3 linked regions of the Drosophila melanogaster genome follow. The protein of the gene in region 3 interacts with the protein of the main gene of each other region in a pairwise test. Each region holds a gene or a part of one and is shown on either strand. Other genes may lie near its edges.

Evidence for each region.
Region 1: the proteins of CG5890 (region 3) and CCAP interact in a two-hybrid assay, tested with the Drosophila melanogaster proteins (one large-scale study listed by BioGRID).
Region 2: the proteins of CG5890 (region 3) and klg interact in a two-hybrid assay, tested with the Drosophila melanogaster proteins (one large-scale study listed by BioGRID).

Annotation. Positions count from the first base shown.
Region 1 is NT_033777.3:22,700,358-22,704,112, reverse strand, and holds CCAP (crustacean cardioactive peptide), read left to right. Parts: upstream 1-2,028; 5' UTR 2,029-2,633; coding exon 2,634-2,744; intron 2,745-2,945; coding exon 2,946-3,009; intron 3,010-3,062; coding exon 3,063-3,355; 3' UTR 3,356-3,531; downstream 3,532-3,755. Other genes in the region: CG6972 (uncharacterized protein), read right to left, coding at 1-20, 88-204, 261-461, 521-859, 1,074-1,187. UniProt on the Drosophila melanogaster protein: Cardioregulatory neurohormone that increases heart beat rate during adult wing inflation; has no effect on beat amplitude. The effect of CCAP is both ino- and chronotropic.
Region 2 is NT_033777.3:22,897,280-22,901,034, reverse strand, and holds the start of klg (klingon), read right to left. Parts: upstream 1,752-3,755; 5' UTR 1,425-1,751; intron 1-1,424.
Region 3 is NT_033777.3:25,854,052-25,857,806, reverse strand, and holds the start of CG5890 (uncharacterized protein), read right to left. Parts: upstream 1,654-3,755; 5' UTR 834-1,653; intron 1-833.

The sequences.
Region 1 (3,755 bases), 3.2 Mb from region 3:
ATCGGTACGTCTTGCGAGACCTGAAAAATAGCAAAATATTCGAATATTTGACAGCTGTCAATTTGGGCTACCCCGAATATAGGTCACTACCTCGAGGAATCGAACGAGGGCCCTCAGGGTGCGGAAGATTTGGTCTTCGTTGGGACTGCTCTGGAAGAACTGAAGAATGGCCATGGCCAGCTCCACGGCGATATCGTCGAATACCTGCAGATATATATCTTGTATCTACGATATTTTCCAATACTTTGCATACCACATACCACAGTCTTCACTTCCTTAATAGCAATGTTGTACAGGATCATGCTGCCAATATTTTTCAGCTGCGGGCAATTGGAGAGGATGCAGTGGACGGCCACCTTGGTGGTCACTCGTATGTTGGAGATGGTCTGACCATTGTATTCCCACTCCGAAATGTACAACAGCCATTCGGAGGGACCCAGGTTCTCAAAGAGATTGCACATCTGAAACATATTGAATATATAGCAAACTTATATATTCATTCTCCCATTGCGGGACCTACAAACATGGCCCAGGCCTGCTGCTCCTCGGGCGTCTGCTTGTCAATGTCCTGGGCGTAGTTCATCAGTGTGTGATCCCTTCGATCCTGGTGCAGAATGATGATCACATCATCTTTGAGCGCCGCATAGGCCAGCGTGCGGATCAGGTGTATCCGTGTGTCCGGCGAGAAGGCCTGATTGTCACGCAGGACGCGCTGCACGAAGATCAGAAAGTTGTCGCCCAGCGCCCAGGAGCCATCGTCCTCGATCAGATACTGATGCAGCTCCTCCATGGCCACTTCCTCCTCCTTGTAGATCTTGCCATCGAGCAGTTTCACTAGGCTCTCTAGCTCAGTCTTTATCTGTGGGAAGTGGAAGTGGAAAGGATAAGATATATGATGCATTTAGCGATGATTCGGCATTAGATAATATAAGTCACAGATTTACTGCAATTTTCAAAAGTGCATCTAATTGTTTACAAACAAATCAGCCAGTTTGTAATTGTGTATATAAGAAAACATTTTTGTTGGTTTTTTTTTTGGTACTTGGATACAGCTTCCTAGTCTTTGGACTTACATCGATGTCTTTGAGGACCAGCGCCGGTTCGCGTGGTACTTCCTTCTCCTCCGTGGACTTGGAGCGCTCCTTGCCGTTCTGGGACTGCTGTTGTTGGGCTGCGGGCTCTGACATCTCTGGTCTATTAATAGCCGCATGAGGAAATTATAATAATAAAATAAATTGTATAGTCAAAATTAAATGAACATGCATTCGCATGGGACCACAACAAACTTTCGCTGCGCAAGAGCCATTAAATTGCAAAGGATTTTCACTTTTTATTCGATATTATTTTTTACGATCCGCCTGCGATAATGTTGTAATTTTCAGCACAAATTGCCAATCAGGCGTGCTGAAATGTTTACAATTTCGGCAGTAGAAATATGTGAGGAATTTGATGTTTCATATAAACAAAAAAGGCGGAAAAGCATTTAACTTAATTAACAGCAGAGAAGCGCTGGGAAATGAAAAGGAAAAAAAAGAAAAGCGGTTGCCGGCGACACCATTGGGTAGGGGAAAAGTTGTCAAACCGAAGTGTGACAGTAAAACTGAGGAAAACTCAAAATAGCCGTGGTATTTTTAGTTTTTTACTTTACGTAGACAAAAACAAGGTACAGAAGATTCTCAACTGGCAACACGAAATTGCATGCAATGTGATATAAACGACTTTTTTCCGGCCTCAACCGACAGAAATTGGTAATTATAATCAAATAAAATGTTGAGATATTCCCAATTAATATGCATAATTTATAGATTTCCAAATTACTCACATGCTATTTTAGTAGAAGTGACACAGAAATTCCTACACTTTCGACACCAAATCGTGGGAAAGTCGCGAAGAAATCACAATTTAAAAATCAACTAGGGCACAAATGGTATCAGTTGTTTATTCAAAATTCCGAAAATGAATATATGGTTATTTATTTTCCAGATCATGCAACTTTTGTAGAACTTTTCATTGAATTCCAGAGATTCGAGTAGCACGCGAACCGTTTTGGCAGAGAGTCGCCTCGAAATTGCCTCTGTTTGTTCGGAAAAGTCTAGTGGAAGTGTGAGGAAAAGTTTCGGAAAATGCACACTCAAGCGCGTAGGAGCGATCTGTGAGTGTGTTCTTTCGGATATATCCGATCGGATCGGGTCTTTATAAATAGATACAAACGCCTCAGTTCGCTCGCGAGCGAATTATGGCCAATGCAGCTGCACTGAACGAAATTAGTGACAATTGCGGGGGATTTTCGCCCACTTTAAGCCTGCCCAAGTTGCGTTTCAAATTGAATTTGCAGTGGTTTTTATTACACTCGGCAAGGGCAAGGACCATCCTTCACACGTCAATGCAATGTTAATGTGCGGGGGCGACCCGGCTGGGAAAGGTCGGGAAAAACACAAAAAGCCATTAAGTGGCAACCAAAATACATTCCAGGCCCAGCTGGTGGTCCTGTCGCCTTCTGAAAGCAACAAGTCTCACATTGCGTAGCCGAGATGTTGACCAAGGCCCAAGCTGCGGCCACTTTCATTTGGCTTTCGAGTGTTAAGCGCGTCGGTTGCTAAGTGGATCCTTATTAAAAAAAACACACTCCTGCAATGAGAACGTCCATGAGGATTTCCCTGAGGCTGCTTGCACTCCTGGCTTGTGCCATTTGCTCTCAGGCTTCGCTGGAAAGGGAGAACAACGAGGGCACCAATATGGCAAATGTGAGTTATCAATGGATTAACTATTTCATTAAGACCCAACAGAAAGTGGAAGTAAATTGTGAAATTCGTTAAATTAGTTAAGCGGAGTTATAATCTAAGTTGATAACGCGACGCATTGTTTAACGTTCATTTACATACCTAATTAAATAGTTGTTACCTGATTAGTTTTGATATAAATATAATTTATCGTCTTATTTGCAGCACAAGCTAAGTGGCGTTATACAATGGAAGTACGAGAAGCGACCGTTTTGCAATGCATTTACAGGTAATTTTAATACAATATATAATAATATCCATTACAATCCGGACGATTTACAGGCTGTGGACGAAAGCGTACGTATCCCTCGTATCCGCCATTCTCGCTATTCAAACGCAACGAAGTCGAAGAGAAACCCTATAACAATGAGTATTTATCCGAAGGTCTAAGTGATTTGATCGATATCAATGCCGAGCCAGCTGTGGAAAATGTTCAAAAGCAAATCATGTCGCAGGCCAAAATCTTCGAGGCCATCAAAGAAGCCAGCAAGGAAATCTTTCGGCAAAAGAACAAACAGAAAATGTTGCAAAATGAAAAGGAGATGCAGCAATTGGAGGAGCGCGAAAGCAAATAAATCGAAATAATCGGATAAATCGGAATTATCGGAATAGTCGGATTTCTGGAAAGCAAATTGACTGGACGGTTAGCACACTGCTTTTGTTATTGTACATACTATCTTTATCCATGACTCCTTGAATTGTGAAGAATTCCACAGCACTGGCATTGCATTCAATAAAAATTGTTGACCTCACTTTTTGTTGTTTTCTGGTCTATTGTATTTATTGGTAATACATCTGATTATAGAAAACGGTTTAGAAAGTTCATTATTTTTACCACACTGAATATACAATATGTTACCCTATGCTATCTCTTGGTGACATTAGTAATTGGTAATCGCAGTTGGTTCTCGTATCATTGCATACTTATGATAACGATAAGGACAATCATAAAAGGTATTTCAACAGCAAACAGAT
Region 2 (3,755 bases), 3.0 Mb from region 3:
TTTTGCTCATCTGCTAATTGCCAAAAATTGAGAAGTGCCCAGAAAGTCTGGCTTTTTAAATCTCTTTTAAATTTGTGAAAAATGTTTGCCTGGACTATTTGTATTTAGTGCTTTTTCTTATTGATAAACCTGTGTTGATACAGACTACCGATGGGGTCCTGAATAAATCTAACTGTCATATTTTCTCTCAGTGCTCCGAATCGCTCGCACAATTGGCATTGTAGAAGCGCGTCTAACCGAATTAGGCAACACAAATCAATTGCATTAAATGGCAGGCAGCGCGTGTCTTCGCCCCTTTGGGGCTGCCAATGCCTGTGTGGTTACGATTCCGGCTTCCCTTTTTCGATTTTGCGAGCATTTTAGCATATGAAATTGGTGTACACGTCTCGAATGCGGAATACTTGCAGGTTAACCAAATGCCAGAAACAATTGTGATGTCCTGAACAGGCAGCCAAATAAATGCCGACGAACAGCTGCAAACGACTTATTTATGCCACAGAAGAACTCGAAGCCCCATCCACAGCGCCATCGTATGATATCCCTATTATCGTTTGCTTCTCCGGGATTAAGTCTGCCTGGATCTGGATCCTAATTTACACAGCTTCTGGGTATTTACCTCTTCTTTCAGGGACGCAAAACTTTTGCCCAAATGAGAAGAAGTCGGCAGGAATGCCTTTCGGCGAATGCTCTTAAGTATTTAAATTCAGCGGATTTTTATGAAGCTTTCGCTTTTCGCCATTGCATGTGTTTATTTCATTTCTCATTTTCACAAACATTTTCCCACCAGCACACCCACACACACACATACACATATATACAACTAAGGACGCCACATGCCAAGTTCTACTTCATTTCATGTCGGCATTTGCACATTTTCCTTATTTTTCCCACTTGGTGTGTATGTGTGTGTGTGTGTTAAGGGAAATTTTGTTATACTTCTGGTTTCTGAAGGCGGCTTCTTGCAAAAAACAAAAAAAAAAAAAAAGAACAAGAGGAAAGTGCGACTTGGAAGCCACCGCAAAACAATGAAAATTGGTTTTGTTACTTTGCTTACTTTCGCAGACTCTCTTCTTGGCTAAGACCGTTCGGCGGTTGAGCCCTTGGCGGTGGCTTTTATTGCCCGCCCTGTTATTGTTGCTTTATTTATTTGGCAGCTGGCTGGGGTAAAGGAGCCACAAAGCCACCCAACCACCCACCTGGGCTCCTAGCCATCGTATAACACAGCCAACCATATAGCGAAGCTACCACTTCTGCCGCTGATGGCTTTGAGTATTATCGCATAAAATCCAAAATGTAAACACTGGCTCAAGTCGAGTCCTTGCAGCACGTACACGTTTATATTCTAAGCGACATTCGGTGCCAATTTGAATATTTCAGTGCGAACAGCTCCCACAAGAATTCACTAATATGCTGCAAATTATTACCTGCGCCAGCGGCACTGGAACTCATGTGACGAGCGATCGTTTTCGGTTTTATTATCCTTAAAGTTTTTCACTTTTATATCTTATTGGCTTAGTTTATTCACTTGGCTTTGTTTTAGTTAGTTGCAGTCTGAGAACTGCTTGCTTTTAGGTTAGCACACTGCACAAATAACTATTATCTTGCAGCTAGAATCCTTTTCGCTGGCACAGCTGATGTCCTGCTGGGTCTTTTGGCTTCAGCTTCAGGATTTCTGCTCCTGCTGAAAAACACTTAGAACGAGTCGCGCGCGATTCGTGTCAACTGCGTCGAAGGGTTCACTTTCAACTGAAACACTGCTGGCCGTTCGCCGTCGTTTCTCAGCGCCCTGCATTCGGGTTCGGCTCAACACTTCGTGTTGCTTCGGTGCACTTCGGCTACGCCCACGAGGCCACCCGAGCGACGATGAGAGAGGGCACTGCTCAGAGAGCGAAAGATGGCTGGCTCTCTCCCAGTTCGCCTCAGGACAACTGTGCCACGGCGAAATGGGCATTACCAACTCAAGTTGTTAGACACTAGGCTGCGCTGCCCTGGCTTTGGCCATAAAACATAATTAACAGTTTTGTTTACAAAAGACAATAACAAAATACAGTACAAATATCGTTTATTTGGATTGTTCTTTCTTTTTACTTAAATTCGTGTACTCACACTCTTTTTTTTTTGAAACTGATACTTAAACAACTGATTTAACTATTATCTTATTTTGAAGGTATGACATATGACAGCTTGAAATTCAAACTTTTACAGCAAGTACATTTTACATCAAATTTTTCATTTTTATCATCCAATATTTTGCTTTTGCGATTTAAATAACTTTTAGCCACTTCTCAGCACAAGCCACATATAATAAATTGATCATGTAATGCTGTCATATCATGTTGTTCACCTGTCGCTTAAAGCTATTTGAGCTCAGCAGTCACTCTTCGTCAGCTTTTTGCCTAGAGAGAGGCATATGAAAACTACCCCTATCATATTTTTCGCCACGAATGCCACTCCGAATTTTGCTCCGAAACGAGGGGCTGACTTCAGCCTTTGTTGCTGGAAGCGTGGTGTTGCTGGAAATCGGCTGGCAACATTCGAACTGCTTTGGCAACATTTCGAAGTGGGAGACAAATTGCGGCATGTCCTGCTAGTTTCGGTGAGTGAAAGTTACGCGACGAGTTCCCAGGTGAACGCAACGCTGTCACTTTTCACATGAGTTAGAGCTGGAAAATCAAGTTATCGAGGCGTGACCACCGAGGGCAGGCTCGCGTGTAATTAAAACTAAACAGCAGGAACAACATCAACATCAACATTTGCACCAGGGGCATTGGGCAGCAACCACCCACAGGTCATCCGGATAACTGTAAAAAGCGATTCAGCAGTTTGTACGGCGGAAAACAAAGGGAAAACCAACCATCCCAACCGACAGAGCAGCAGGCATTACGCTGATGACGAAACCGAATACGGAAGTCCATAAGTCAGGATTAAAAACGTCGGCAGTGGCGGCGAACACGCAAAATATGGCGACAACAACCTGGTCAAAAGGAACTTATGTCCAACAGGAGATGTCCTGAAATTAATTTGAATATTTTCCAACCGCTTTTCCCCCGCGACCGCTTGCCCTTGGCCCTTTGTCACTGCTTTTGTTTCAGCTTTTGTTTCAGCTTTTGTTTCAGTTTTCGCTCTTGTAGCAACGGGGCTTTTGACTTCATTAGAAGTAATGGCGAAATCTGGCTGAAAAGTGAAAAACAGGAATCTGTCCGCGTTCCACGCTCCCCACCTCCCCCCCTCCATTCAACTGTCAGCGACGCAACGCAACGGTTATAAAATTCCAAAATATGCACATAAAGACATAATCCTCAACCTCCGCCTCGCCCATCCCACAATTTTTCCCGGAAAATGGAAATAGAAACAACTGCCGCCGAGTCAACGGTCAACAGGCGATGGCGGTGGGTCAGTCAGTTTCAATTTATTGGGCGCGCTTGAAAATAAATTTGTTTTTCGAAAATGCGAACATCAAGCACACCGAACGCCGTGGGTAGTGGAAGGGGTGGTGGGGGGAGGCAATACAGGTGGGCTCTCAGGGGTCCTCGCGGATGAAAAACGATTACGCAATCTGGCCCGTGCCATGTCCACTAAAGCAAGTGGAACAATCTGTGGGGGCGGTCAGCGTGAAATGAGCTGAATTTATACGAATTCGCCGTGTAAAACTCTCGTCCTTCGGGCACTTTAAAGATAAAGTTTGTCCCATTAAATTCAACAAAACAATTCATTTTTAATTTTGCACAATTTGACTTCAATCGCAGTAGATTAAA
Region 3 (3,755 bases):
ATGCTAAAAAATAACATATGTAAAGCTTCACTATTTTGGAAAATTATAAACAAGTTGTCGACACTTCTGCCAAAAGTTAAAAATATGTATGAACAATTTAATATATTTTCACAGTGCCGTAAACAGTAAACAATTGCAGCCAGGTGCGTCTTCAAACACAGATTCTTATTTGTTTAAATAAATATGAAAATTAACATTTCAATAGTAAATCGAAGCCTCACATCCAATTTTAAATATAATCTCACAAAAATACTCTTTGATGCGTTTTTTAAACATTTTCATTATTTTCCTCAATTATTGAATGAAAAACCTGGCACAGCTCAAACTTCAAATAGAGCCCATAAATATTTTCCATAATTTTGCGAAAAATAAACAAAATATTCCAGACTGTTTTTTCGCATTTTTCAAGGTGAGTGTGTGAATTTTCACTAGCCTGCGTGTGTGTGTGTGTGGGTGCCTCTGCGAAAATGCGATGGTGTGCGTGCGTGCGACTTTGGCGCCTAGTCAAATAAATCGCATGCGATTAAAATTTTATACAAATAGCTTTAGAAGCGTGCGTTTTGCTTTGTTGTGTTTCATTTGCCGTGCCATTTCCACCTTTTCACTGTTTGTTTTCCATTTTTTTTTTTTCATTTCTAGTCTTAAGCTGCGTTGTTTTTGGTTTTTTTATGGGGGCATGGCGTCAGTTAAATGAGTTGTTGTTTATAGTTCTTGAGCATGTGTGCGAAAAATTTGCATTTGTAGCGTAACGCTTTTGTTTACTTTGTAGGTTAGTTTGTTGGCCCATTGACTTATATACACACACTCGGCTAAAATATAACATATATATTTACCTTCGATGCCTTTTGATGGTGACGGCAGCAGCGGCGGCGGCGGCGGCAGCAGCGGCGTTGACGAAGAAAGCGGCGAAAGCAGACGGAGAAATTGGCCAAAACGGAGATGAGGGAGGTAGGAGGAGTTGGTGATGGCTGATGGTTGAGATGGGTGGTAGTGGGCGGTTGGGTGGTGGTGGGTGGTATTAACCTCAAAGCATGTCAGCAAACAGCTCCTCGAAAGCACTTGACTTGACTCCTTTCGATATTTATATTTTCCTGCCCTCCTTTGCGTGCCTCGTTTTAATTTGTTAATGATTTGGGCTTATTCATTTATTTGCATTATTTGGCGCTCACTCTTCCTAACTCTGCTTATTTGGTGTTATGTTACATTTTAGCAAAACTTGCGGTCCTGTCTCAACGATTGTTGTTGCTGTGCGGAAAATGCCAAGCAGCAAATGTAGCACGAGCAGCAGCAGCGGAAAAAGAAACAAGAGGAAAAACTGTATCTTTTAGATCCGGGCATATCCTTTATCTCGAACAGCGACTGCGACGCTGGCTGAGGCAGCAGCTGTAGCTGTAGCTGGAAAATTTCCTCCAACTTGTTTGTCTAACTCTCGCGTTGCTTTTCAAAACGATGTTTTAGCATTTAAGTTAAATTTAAAGCTGCAAGCTGCAATGATACAGCAGCAACAATCGTTTCCATATATAAAATCCAGCAAAAGAAGAACTCGATAGCAGCAAAAACCGCGCAGCGTTTTCCCCGTTTACCGTTTCGCCGTCAGACACACACTTTTCCCACAAATAAAGCCAGAAACCGTTCGACGCGCGCACGCGAGTGTCCTATACACAACTGATTACAGGACTGCGAAAATGGAAAATGTTTGCCAGCAGCGACGCTTCGGCATTCGGTTTTCCCTCGCTCGGAAAATCTCCGGCTATCGCAGCCAGGCTTCTGTTGCCGAAATATCCGGAGCCACTCCGCCGGAGACGGAGAGCGAGTTCGCCGGAGAGTGGGTGCGCACTCACTTGGGTTGCGGGCGGCACATAGGGTATAGCATAGCCCTCGGCGGTTACAGTGGACTAAGTAGCCACATAACGCATATAATTAGTTTGAATTGTAATAATATTGGAAGAGCTGTTTTAAATGGCAAATATATTTACTTGACTGACAACGTGGCGTATGAGTAATTTTTAAAATATGTTACTAATGAAAGACAGCCTGTTTGTGACATTTAAATTCATGACAACTATTATTATATTGTATATTATAATAAAATAATTATTATTTTATTATAAATGATTTTGGATAAGAGAAGGAAATATTTATTTACAAAATCTAGAAATTGTTGAATTTATATCTCGCACATAAGAAGTACTGCTGAAAGCATCTTTAAGATAGTTATGAATCTTCCAACACCCTTGAAAGTAGCCCACTGTGCAAGCAACACTCATATTCCTCATTCATCTTGCTCAGCCCGCACAATTGGCTGCCAAAAGTATTGCCACACCAGTGTCGGCGACTTCGTCCTTTCACTTGAACGCCAAAAGTGAGGCAGTCTGGCAGCCTCTACTTTTCTGGTCCTGGTCCCCAGTGAGGGTCTTCTTCTGTTACGCTGCTGTTATCCTGCAGACCGCGAGGGTCCTGAGAAATGACACCCATGAGTTCAGGATGAATACGACGCCACGACAGCCAACCAATCCTCCATTTCGCACATATGTACATATGTACATACATCGCACATACCTATAGTGTACATATGTATGTACATATGCTCGTCTGTTGGACATTTGCACTGTTTTTTTTATACCAACGAACGGACGCGTAGGGTTTACAGCCAAATGACAAGTGCTTAGTGTTTTGCATATGCGTGTGTGCGTACACTGAGAAAAATTTAGTTTTATTTTTTTGATCTTTTATTCGTATATAATTCTCATAAATAACTCGAAATTATTTTATTTCACATATCTTACAAACTAAATGTATATTATTAAAAAATAAACACATTTCTATTAAGTTGATGAAAAATTTTTCAGTGCTGGATTTAGCGGCTTGATACCCCCATTCTCATTATTCAAGCTGGAAAATGGGCAGCTCGGGGATGGGGACAAGTGTTTGAAGCACTTGGCGCACGCTTGAGCGGCTTTCAAATTTAGCGTATTAACTCATTAAATGTTCAAAAGCTCATTGCCTGCGAAATGTGCACACATTTCTGTGAATGCGAGCGAGGGTGTGAAATATGCACAAGTATGACACTTTGGCACCGAGGGGAAGACAGTTTTAATACCGCTTAATGGGCAATCGGGCGGAAGAAGCTTGAAATAAATAGAATTCCCTATACTCCTAACAATATCAAAATTTTTAATTAAATTTCTAATGACCATGGAAGAACGCTCGGGGACCTAACAATATAGGGTACAGTACATAAAACATGCTGTGAAAAAAGGGGTAAAAACAGTTGTTGCCTTGAGAGCTGGCATAATTAGTCCTTCTTTCGTATGCACCTCTTTATGCAATTTAAATTAATTTGTGTAATTATTTTAGTGACTTAACTGGCCTTATTTCAACACCCTCGCCCGCACCGAGTGACCGCTGGCAGCAGTTGGCGTTACGCATACGCCACGTTGCATGCGTCTTAAATATTTGATGGCGGAAATCTGGGGCCCGGCAAAAATGACAGCTGCGTGTTGAAAATAATTAAGGCGCAATTATAATGACCCTGGCCACGAACCGCAGGCACTCACCACTCATCACCACCGTTGAAGCCACCCCCATCCGTTCGCCTGTTGGCATTGCAATGTGTTGCATGCAACACTAGACTTTGTGGCGTCGCCAACAATGACGAAAGCAATCCATGGCCATCGAGCTTGTGCGCTCTGGCAGTTTCCCATTCCACTCCACTTATGCAAATTGATGCGAAATGTGGGCTAAGATTTATGCTT